Cricetulus griseus: one gene and its partner. The protein of the gene in region 1 binds, or shares a complex with, the protein of each later gene. Links are inferred from orthologs where the notes say so. Each region holds a gene or a part of one and is shown in the gene's direction. Other genes may lie near its edges.

Region 1 (4,085 bases):
CTAGTGAGTAACTGGCACAAAGACATAGGAGTTCCAAATGTTAAAATGTAGTTGCTCTGCTTCTCACCAGACTTCTGTGTTTCCAGCACCAGCAATGCCTGGCGGCATTCAGCAGAGTGAAGTTCACCCGCGTGCTGCTGACAGTGCTTATAGCCTTTACTAAGAAGGAGGTAAGAGAATCACCGTAATTGGGTCAGTTTTGATCAGTGCCCCCCTGTTCTCACAGTTCTCTACCTTTGGTGTAGTTGCACCACAGTCATACCAATGCTTCTGTGAAAAGTGATTGTTGCTTTACAGTTGTACCTATAGATAGATAAATACTGTATCAGGTAATTCTATTTCCTGGATTCCTCCCACCCCATACTTGTGAATGATTGAATAGTATTGGAATTTTTTGCCTTGTCACAATTGACTATATCTCTGATCTTTTATTTTAAAAAGTAAGCTTATACTGTAAATCAGAAATATTTACCATTTCATTTTTTAATGTATCAAATAAGATATACATTTGAGGGAAATGCTTTGTATCCTGTCAGGATTTGGGCATCCTGCATTAAGTGACTGCTTTGTGAGGATCCATGTTAGCGCAGTGTGCGCTGGATCTCAGTGCTGTTGTAGGATCTCCTCTTCTGTGTGTTAGCGCAGTGTGCACTGGATCTCAGTGCTGTTGGAGGATCTCCTCTTCTGTGTGTTAGCGCAGTGTGCACTGGATCTCAGTGCTGTTGTAGAACCTCCTCTTCTCTGTCTTTCAGTTAACGTGTGTGTTTTCGGTGATTTGTTTGCTAGACCAGTGCTGTTGCAGAGGCTCAGAAACTAATGGTCCAAGCAGCAGACCTTCTGTCTGCCATCCACACTTCATTGCATCATGGCATCCAGGCTCAGAATGGCACTACCAAAGGAGGTAATTCTCAATGTTTGCTCTTATATTTTCTTTATCAAAACATGTTATACAGTTAGCTCTGACTTTAATTTAAGTCAGTCTGTCTGTACTTTTGCGATATTTCCTCTGAATACTTAAGGGTGCTTTAGGCTTCTTTGTAGATTTAGTCTATGTTGAAAACAATTGATTAAACTTGACCCTATCTTGTTACTGTTGGACTCTGTATATATACCCTGTCTTTTGTTTGTAGTATGATGCCAGCAGTAACTTAGTTTTTTAACATCTCCTTTCTTTATTTCTTTGAGAAAGTCTACCTCACTCCACAAGGCAGGCCTAGTGTTCCTGAGGTTCATTGTACTCACAGGTGCCTGCCTTCACACTGCACTAGAATTGTGCATGAGATTCTGGACACTTAGGATAGAACACTTGACATTTGATGCTTCATATATTTTATATGTGAAATAAGGTTTAATGGGAGTGATATATCTTTGCTGTAAAATTCACCAGTGGGTCAACATTTTAGAGTATACAGCAGCACTGATTATCCCTAAAACCCATGAGATAGTCTTAATATCATTTATAGTCTTAATATTATTGAATTGTAAAATATCCACAACTCTGAGACTCAGCTAGTTCGGGAAATGTTTATAAAAAATGATTTAATACATAAAAGTAGCTTGCTTGTGATTACTGAAATTCTGTGTTGGGATTAGCTTTTGGGCATGTGTCTGGGAATTTTCTTTATTATATTGAGGTGGCTGTGTCTACTACCACTGTGGGTGGCACCATTCCCTAGGCTGGGTCCTGAAGCATGTAAGGATGGAGGAAGGGAGCCATGTGGTGCCACATTATTTATGATTTATTAAAGCTTGCCTGAGGATTTAGAAAACAGGGTCAGCCACAGCCATAGAAGCCAGGCACACACCTTTGATCTCAGAAGTCAGAAGCTAGGAGGTGCTGGTACACACCTTTAATCCTAGGACTCAGGATTAAGAGGTAGATGGATCTCTCTGAGTTCAAGGCCACCCAGGGATACATGAGATTAAATCATTCTAAAAATGAAACAGATCACACACCTTTAGTCCCAGCACTAGAGGGGTATAAAAGATAGAAGCAGGGTCTTTAGTATTCAATAGGAGTCATTCATTCTCTAGCCACACTGAGGAGAGGCAGCAGTTTGAGGCTTGGTGAAGAGCTCTTGCATGGATCAGCCCTTTCAGCCTGAGCTTGAAGTGAGAGCTAGTGGCCGGCTGCTTTGCTTCCCTGATCTTCAGGTTGAACCCCAGTATCAGTCTTTTATTTATTTGTGTTAGCAGAGCAGAGAGCAAACTTGCATGCGTTTTATTCTCTCTGCTCTCAGTTGTGGCTATGACAGCTGCTGCAGGTTTGTGCTGCCCTGAGTTCCCTGCAGTGATGGACTGTGACCTGTAATTGTGAGCCAGGTGAGCCTTTCTCATCTCCTCAATTGCTTCTCACAGCAGCAGGAACAACTGTTACGCATTGAGTTGCCTGCTTGTATGAGGCCTAAGAGTCTGTGTATTAAGAACTAAAGAACATTTCTTGATAATTTCTGACTTATGTTAAAAAAAAGGTTACTCTCAGTTTCTCCTGCCACAGCGTTGCAAGTGCCGGGATTACAGGTGTTTGTCACCAAGACCCATGTCCAGTTTGGTGTGTTTGTGTTGTTGGGATTGGACTCAGAGCCTCATGCATTCCAGGCAAGCTGTCTGCTGCTGAGCTATATCCCCCCCAGTTCTCAGCTTAAATTTTTTGTTGTCGTTATTTTGTTTTGTTTTGTTTTTTTCAAAATAGGGTTTCTCTGTGTAGTCCTGGTTATCCTGGAACTTACTTTGTAGATGAGGCTAGCCTCAAACTCAAGAGAACTGCCTGTCTCAGCTTCCTTAGTGCTGGGATTAAAGGCGTGTACCACCATCATCCAGCAAAATTATTTTTAAAGAGTGCAGATGTATATGGGATAATGATATGCCTAAGTGAATTGTAAATGGGAGCAAAGCTTTTTTATTTTTTCCTCACATAACATGATAAAGTCAGTGACTTGGGAAGGGGATTTGTGTGTATAATCTCCCTACATGTGATGGATTCGTGAACCACATCTCATAGGACTGGAGAGAACACTCATGGCTCTTCCACAGGACCAGGTTCAACTCCCAGCATCCTCACATGGCAGCTCACAACTGTCTATAACTCTGGTCCTGGGGATCTGACGCCCTCTTCTGGACTCCACGGGCAATGCACACACATAACAAACAGGCATGTATGTAGACAAAACACCGATACATACTTAAACAAACAAACAAACAAAATAGAAAAACAGCCCTCATAGAGCCAAAGAGCTATCTGATTTTTTCTGTTGAGTCTCAGGAAACCACTGAGCTCTTCCCAGTGCTCTGTTAGGGCACTGTACTGTACAGAAGGGGGAATGGACAAAACTTTTGGGACACATGGGAGTTTGGAGAGATGGTACAGAGTTAAGAGTGCTGACTGCTCTTGCAGAGGATCTGGATTTGATTCCCAGCACCTACCGGTGACTCACAACTGTCTATAACTTCAGTTCCAGGGCATCTGATGTCTTTGACCTCCATGGGCTCCTGGTTGCACGTGACTCACGTAAACTCATGCAGGCACACATCTATACATAAATAAAAAATACATTTTTGAAAGCTTCTGTGATAGGGAAAATTCAGGCTGTGTTTTACACAGAGGGTTGAGGTGGCAATGAGTAGGATTGGTGAAGTGAAGGAGCAGTCACACAACGTCAAAGGGGAGCAAGAAGTGAAAGGCGGGGGAAGCACTGGCAGGAGACGAGGTTGCCGTCTTCAGGACGGTGAGGCTGAGTTCCTGTTTTCTGAGAGAGACAGTGTTTGGAGAAAGACAGTGTTTGCAGTTGCCTTTTGAGATAATGTGGGATGCCACATAGAAATGTCCACTGAACAGGTGAGGAGAAAGCTGTGGGCTAAGGGTTTTCATCTGAGTCTGTCTGCCGTTATACTTGTCTCGTCTAAGAATAATTCATAGAGAAGAAAGCCCGGGCCTGGGAGCAGCTGCAAAGGTGAGACAGGTCTGGGGCAGCAGAGCGCTGCTTGGGGTGTTGAGTCAGTCAGTTTCTGACTCTTCACAGTATAACTGGGAAGCCTTAGTTTCATCTCACTGACATCTAAAACTGTATTCTTAGGGTGTAGCTTGT
Region 2 (4,770 bases), on another chromosome or scaffold:
TCTCAAACTCACAGGGATCTGTCTCTGCCTCCAGAGTGCTGGGATTAAAGGTGTGAGCCACCGCGACCCGACTGAAAATTATTATTTTTATGTTCTACTTATTTTTAGATACAGCTTTGCTATGCAGTCCAGATTTACTTTGAATTCCTGAGCCTTTTGCCTCCTGAGAACTAGGATTCTAGACATGTGCCGACTAGTGCAGCTCTTTTTTTTAGATGACACAAAATTGCAACACCTGCCATAGAAACCTATCTCTGAAAACATTAATCTTGGGCACATTTGACTAACTCTATAAACCAGTTCAAATAAATAAAAAACTATTTTAATACATTTTGTTTTTTAAACATGTATGGGTGTTATGCCTGTATGTACGCATGTCTGTGCACCATATGCATTCCTGATGTCCTTGGAGGCCAGAAGAGGTAGCATCCCTTGGACCTGGAATTACAGACTGTTTGTGACCTGTCACATAGGTGCTAGGAATCTAAACCTAGCAGCAAGTGTTCCTAGCCACTAACTCATCTCTCCAGGCCCTACAAACAACTTAAAAACAAAAAACAAATAACTTGATTCATATGGAAGTGAGTTATTTACACGACCGTTGTGCCTTTCAGCTCAGCTATGCAGCAAACTACCAGCTGTGGACTAGAGCAGACGGAGGTGAGCCACATGCTCAAATGCATGCTGAGGCTCTGGTCTTCCACACCTGCTTAGCATGCGAGTCACATGGGAGGATCCCGTGAACTCTTTCCCGGTGCTTCCCAACCTAACACAATTACAATCACAGATTAGTAATGTGCTTCTTAGCCACCACCATCTCTGTCACTTTCACTCCAGGTGTGCCTGTACTTGTCCAGCACCTGTTAGCCACGTTTACGCCTCCAATTTTCGGGACGGAGTAATAGGGCAAGAGGAACTTTGGAAGACGACTAGCCGTTCTCTTGTCCCAACAGGATAATGAGGTTCCTTCCTATTGCAAGACGCTGTCTCCACAGCTCAATGCTTTCAAGTCCCTCTTTTTCGCCGTCCAGGCCCGGGGTTTGCTACCTTTGTAGCCGCTGCTCGCTGCCCCACGCGCCAGGTCGGAGCAAAAGTTGTCAATTGTGCAGCTGCGAAAAGGCCCTGGAGAAGGGCTGGCGACAGGCTGGTCCACAAGCCGCCGCCTTCGCCGCGCCGCCGCCGCCGCCGCCGCCGCGCCGCCGCCGCCCGCCGCCGCCGCCGCGCCGCGCCGCAGCACTCGGAGCGCCCCGCCGGGCCCAGCCCGGCCCACCCTGGAGGCTGCCCTGGCGACTTCCGGGGCCAGGAACCCCAGGCTGGAGCCACACCCCCCGGCGCGCTGCCTCCCGGAAGCCCCCCGGAGACACCGCGGGCCCCGCCCCTGCACAGGTCACCTCCCTCCACGCCCCTTTTTCTGGCCCGGCAGCCGGCAGGCAGGGAAGTGTCGTAAAGCCTGGCCCAGGAAACTTTACCCGGGGTAACAGGCGAGGCGCTTTACGGCGGCGGCGGCGGCGGCGGCGGCGGCGGCGGCGGGTGGGAGTCTCGGCGGCGGCGGCGGCGGCGGCGGCGGCGGTAGCGGCGGCGGAGCGGCAGCGGCAAAGGCGGCTGCGGCGGTGGCTGAGGGAGAGGAGCGGCGGCAACGGCGGCGGGAGCGGCGCGGGGTGAGCCGCGAGGAGGGGCGGGTGGGGGGCGGTGACACGGCCGGCGGCGGCGGCGGGGCTCGGCGGCCGGGGACGGTGGCCGGCACGGCGGCGTGGGGGCGGCGCGGCGTTGGGGACACTCGGTGAGGGACGGTTTCTGCCTTTGTTCCCCCCGCCTCGGCCGCCCCCGGCCCGCCAGTCGGCGCTGCCTGGCGCCGGTCGGCCGCCTCTCATGGCCTCCTCTCTCGGCTGTGTCGCTTCTAGGATGGCGGAGGTACCGCCTGGGCCTAGCAGCCTCCTCCCACCACCAGCGCCTGCGGCCCCGGCGGCGGCCGAGCCCCGCTGCCCGTTCCCGGCGGGGGCTGCACTCGCCTGCTGCAGCGAGGACGAGGAGGACGACGAGGAGCACGAAGGCGGCTGCGGGAGCCCCGCGGGCGGCGAGGCGGGGAGCACGACCAAGGCGCGTTCTTGCCTTCGCTGCCCGCAGCTGCCTCAGGAGCAGCAGCAGCAGCAGCAGCAGCAGCAGCAGCAGCAGCAGCAGCAGCAGCAGCAGCAGCAGCTCAACGGATTGATCGGCCCAGAACTGCGACACCTCCGGGCCGCGGCGACCCTCAAGAGTAAGGTTCTGAGTGCAGCGGAGGCGGCCGTCCCCGACGGGGCCCCCAAAGTGACTGCCACAAAAGGAGCCGGGGGACACCCAGAGGAGAGACCTCCCTACTCGGTCCCCAACAATGCAAGAACTGCGCTCCCCGACCGGCCAGAGACGGCGGCGGCGGGCGGCGCGGCGGCGGCAGCCAGCGACCCCGCGGCGGCTCGCAACGGACTGGCGGAGGGCAACGAGCCGGATGAGGAGGAGGACGAGCAGGTGCGGCTGCTGTCTTCGTCTCTGACCGCCGGCTGCAGTCTAAGGAGCTCCCTGGGCCGGGAGGCCGAGCCCGGGGAGGATCGGACGATACGATACGTCCGCTATGAATCCGAGCTCCAAATGCCTGATATCATGAGACTGATCACCAAAGATCTGTCAGAACCCTACTCCATTTATACGTATAGATATTTTATCCACAACTGGCCACAGCTGTGTTTCTTGGTAAGTGGATGGCATGAAAACAGGGTGAACCCAGCAGAGATCCAGGCCACTCAGGGCAGGGAGTGTGAGGGCCCCGTGTGTGGCAGTGGTTGTATCCTTCATTTTCACAGTACCTTACAGATGTGAAGCGCTGAAGTGCGCGCGCGCGCAAGTGCGCGCACGTTCCTAGTTATTAAATGGAACTGTGTGGAAGGTAAGAACTCATGATCTGGGTTAACTTGCTACTCTCGTAACAGCAGCAAGCCTGCACTAGGTGTGTTTCACCTGGGGTGGGGGTGGGGGGGTCTTACATCCTATTTACATTAGCTTCTAATCATTTTTAACCTTCATTAATTACCCTCCATCTTCCGCGGAGCATTTTGTAGTGATGGTTCTGTTCACATACAGGCCTTAGTAATAACTCTGTTAACAGCCATAATCAGAGAAGAATACATGCGGTGAACACGTTTTGGTGAACATGGTTGTCGGTAAACTTGCTGTGGTCACGTTGGAGAATGAAATCTCAGAGCCATGCTCATTGATTGACATTGTTTCCTTCAGTGCGTCAATACTTGTAGTCAGCTGGCTTTCAGGTGTGCTATTGAAGAAGGTGTCACTAACACTTCCGCTGGCTGAAAGGCCCCTGGAAACTTGAACAGAAGGCCCTTTTGTGGGATGCAGGAAACTTAATTGTGAAACTACTCAAAAACAGTCTAAAAACTGGTACCATTGGTTTGCATGACGTATAACTGATAGACCTATGTGTAAGCAGAACAGATTTGTCTATTGGATAAGATGAATAACTATTTTAAGTTTACATTCTCAGCACTAGTAATCTACCCACAAGTAACATTGACCCACTTTCTGCGGGTATGAAACCTTTGACTGAGATGATGTTAGACTTCAGTTGTAAGCTGTTTGCCATGAGCGCAGCACATTGTTTTCTCTGAAGTTTACTAAAGGCAGCACACTTTGAAGAGAGTAAAGCTCCCACTATTATTACTGTTTTAACACTGACTTAGTTTCACTCAGTATTCCTTGCGGTATGTTTTGAAATGTCAAGTCTCGTGGTTGCTTCCACAGTGTGGTGGTAATCCAGAAATACCACTGGATATTGTACATTTTGGTAGTTTTGCTAGCTTTTGTGTTCATTATGCTTAAACTTTATTTTAGAACATTTGTTTGAACTTTAGATACTGTTTCTAAAGTATTTCGTATTCCATAAAACGTATTTTTGTTGTTGTTTGTTTTTTTCTTTAGAATTCTTAGCATTGTATTAAAATAGTTCTGCTGGACGTGGTGGCACATGCCTTAAATCCCAGAACTTTTGGGAGGCAGAGGCAGGAGGATCTCTGAGTTCAAGGCCAGCCTGATCTACATAGCACATTCCAGGACAGCCCCGGCTGTGTAGAGAGACCCCATCTCACAAATCAAAAACAAGTTCTAAGACATGTTAGTGTCAGTGAATGTGGGGGACAGTATTTGCTATTATAAATGCCATTAAATACAACTCCTCAAAATTGTGTATTAATTGTAAATTAATCCACAAAAGTGTATAATGGAGTCACATTTTAAACTGAATGGAACTAGGGATGTGGTTCAGTGGTAGTTGGTTGAGTCATGTTTTCTCTAGACCTCAGTTTTTTTTGGCATTTTACACTATGGTAAACTTAAGTCTTTTATGTACACCCCTCTTAATTGACCAGTTAATTTGTACTTCAGCCTTTACTAACTAAAGTTTAACATTAAGTTATGAATATCTAGAAGTTGTACAAGTAGCTGGCCTTTAAGGTTTCTTGTATGGAATATGAGTTTGGAGATATGAACAATAAAACTAGTTACACAACAGAGGCAGTCTACAACTAGGTCTTTTATATGCTTTTCAAATTGAACTTCCCATTAGAACTAATTTTTATAAATGTCTTTTGGATTGTGTTTGAAAGGACAACCCTAGAGATGATCTAGAGCTACTTTTTTTTTTTTCTTTAATGGGAATGAAACCCATGGTGATGTGTCTTTAAATCTCTAAAGCTGTTTTGCAGCAGAGCGGTCTTCACCTCTCTGGTC

The links.
Region 2: the proteins of Naa35 (region 1) and Naa30 are in contact, whole or in part, in a cryo-EM structure (PDB 7MX2), measured with the Homo sapiens proteins. The link is inferred for Cricetulus griseus from reciprocal best matches to the Homo sapiens genes NAA35 and NAA30. Residues at the interface, in NP_001308810.1 of Homo sapiens: Leu45, Gly46, Leu48, Leu56, Ala59, Met60, Ala62, Glu64, Lys69, Glu121, Phe313, Pro314, Arg315, Ala444, Leu510, Glu511, Leu512, Glu517, Pro605, Lys606, Phe607, Glu608, Leu609, Asp610, Val614, Arg615, His618, Arg619; in NP_001011713.2 of Homo sapiens: Glu221, Pro238, Ser240, Tyr242, Thr243, Arg245, Tyr246, His249, Asn250, Lys304, Ile324, Glu334, Asn335, Leu336, Gly337, Val339, Arg340, Asp341, Lys342, Arg343, Phe345, Arg346, Tyr347, Tyr348, Leu349, Leu359, Trp360, Leu361, Arg362.

Annotation. Positions count from the first base shown.
Region 1 is NC_048596.1:278,704,107-278,708,191, forward strand, and holds part of Naa35 (N-alpha-acetyltransferase 35, NatC auxiliary subunit), read left to right. Parts: intron 1-86; coding exon 87-170; intron 171-786; coding exon 787-901; intron 902-4,085. UniProt on the Homo sapiens protein: Auxillary component of the N-terminal acetyltransferase C (NatC) complex which catalyzes acetylation of N-terminal methionine residues. N-terminal acetylation protects proteins from ubiquitination and degradation by the N-end rule pathway.
Region 2 is NW_023276807.1:205,214,534-205,219,303, forward strand, and holds the start of Naa30 (N-alpha-acetyltransferase 30), read left to right. Parts: upstream 1-1,730; 5' UTR 1,731-1,869; coding exon 1,870-2,724; intron 2,725-4,770. UniProt on the Homo sapiens protein: Catalytic subunit of the N-terminal acetyltransferase C (NatC) complex. Catalyzes acetylation of the N-terminal methionine residues of peptides beginning with Met-Leu-Ala and Met-Leu-Gly.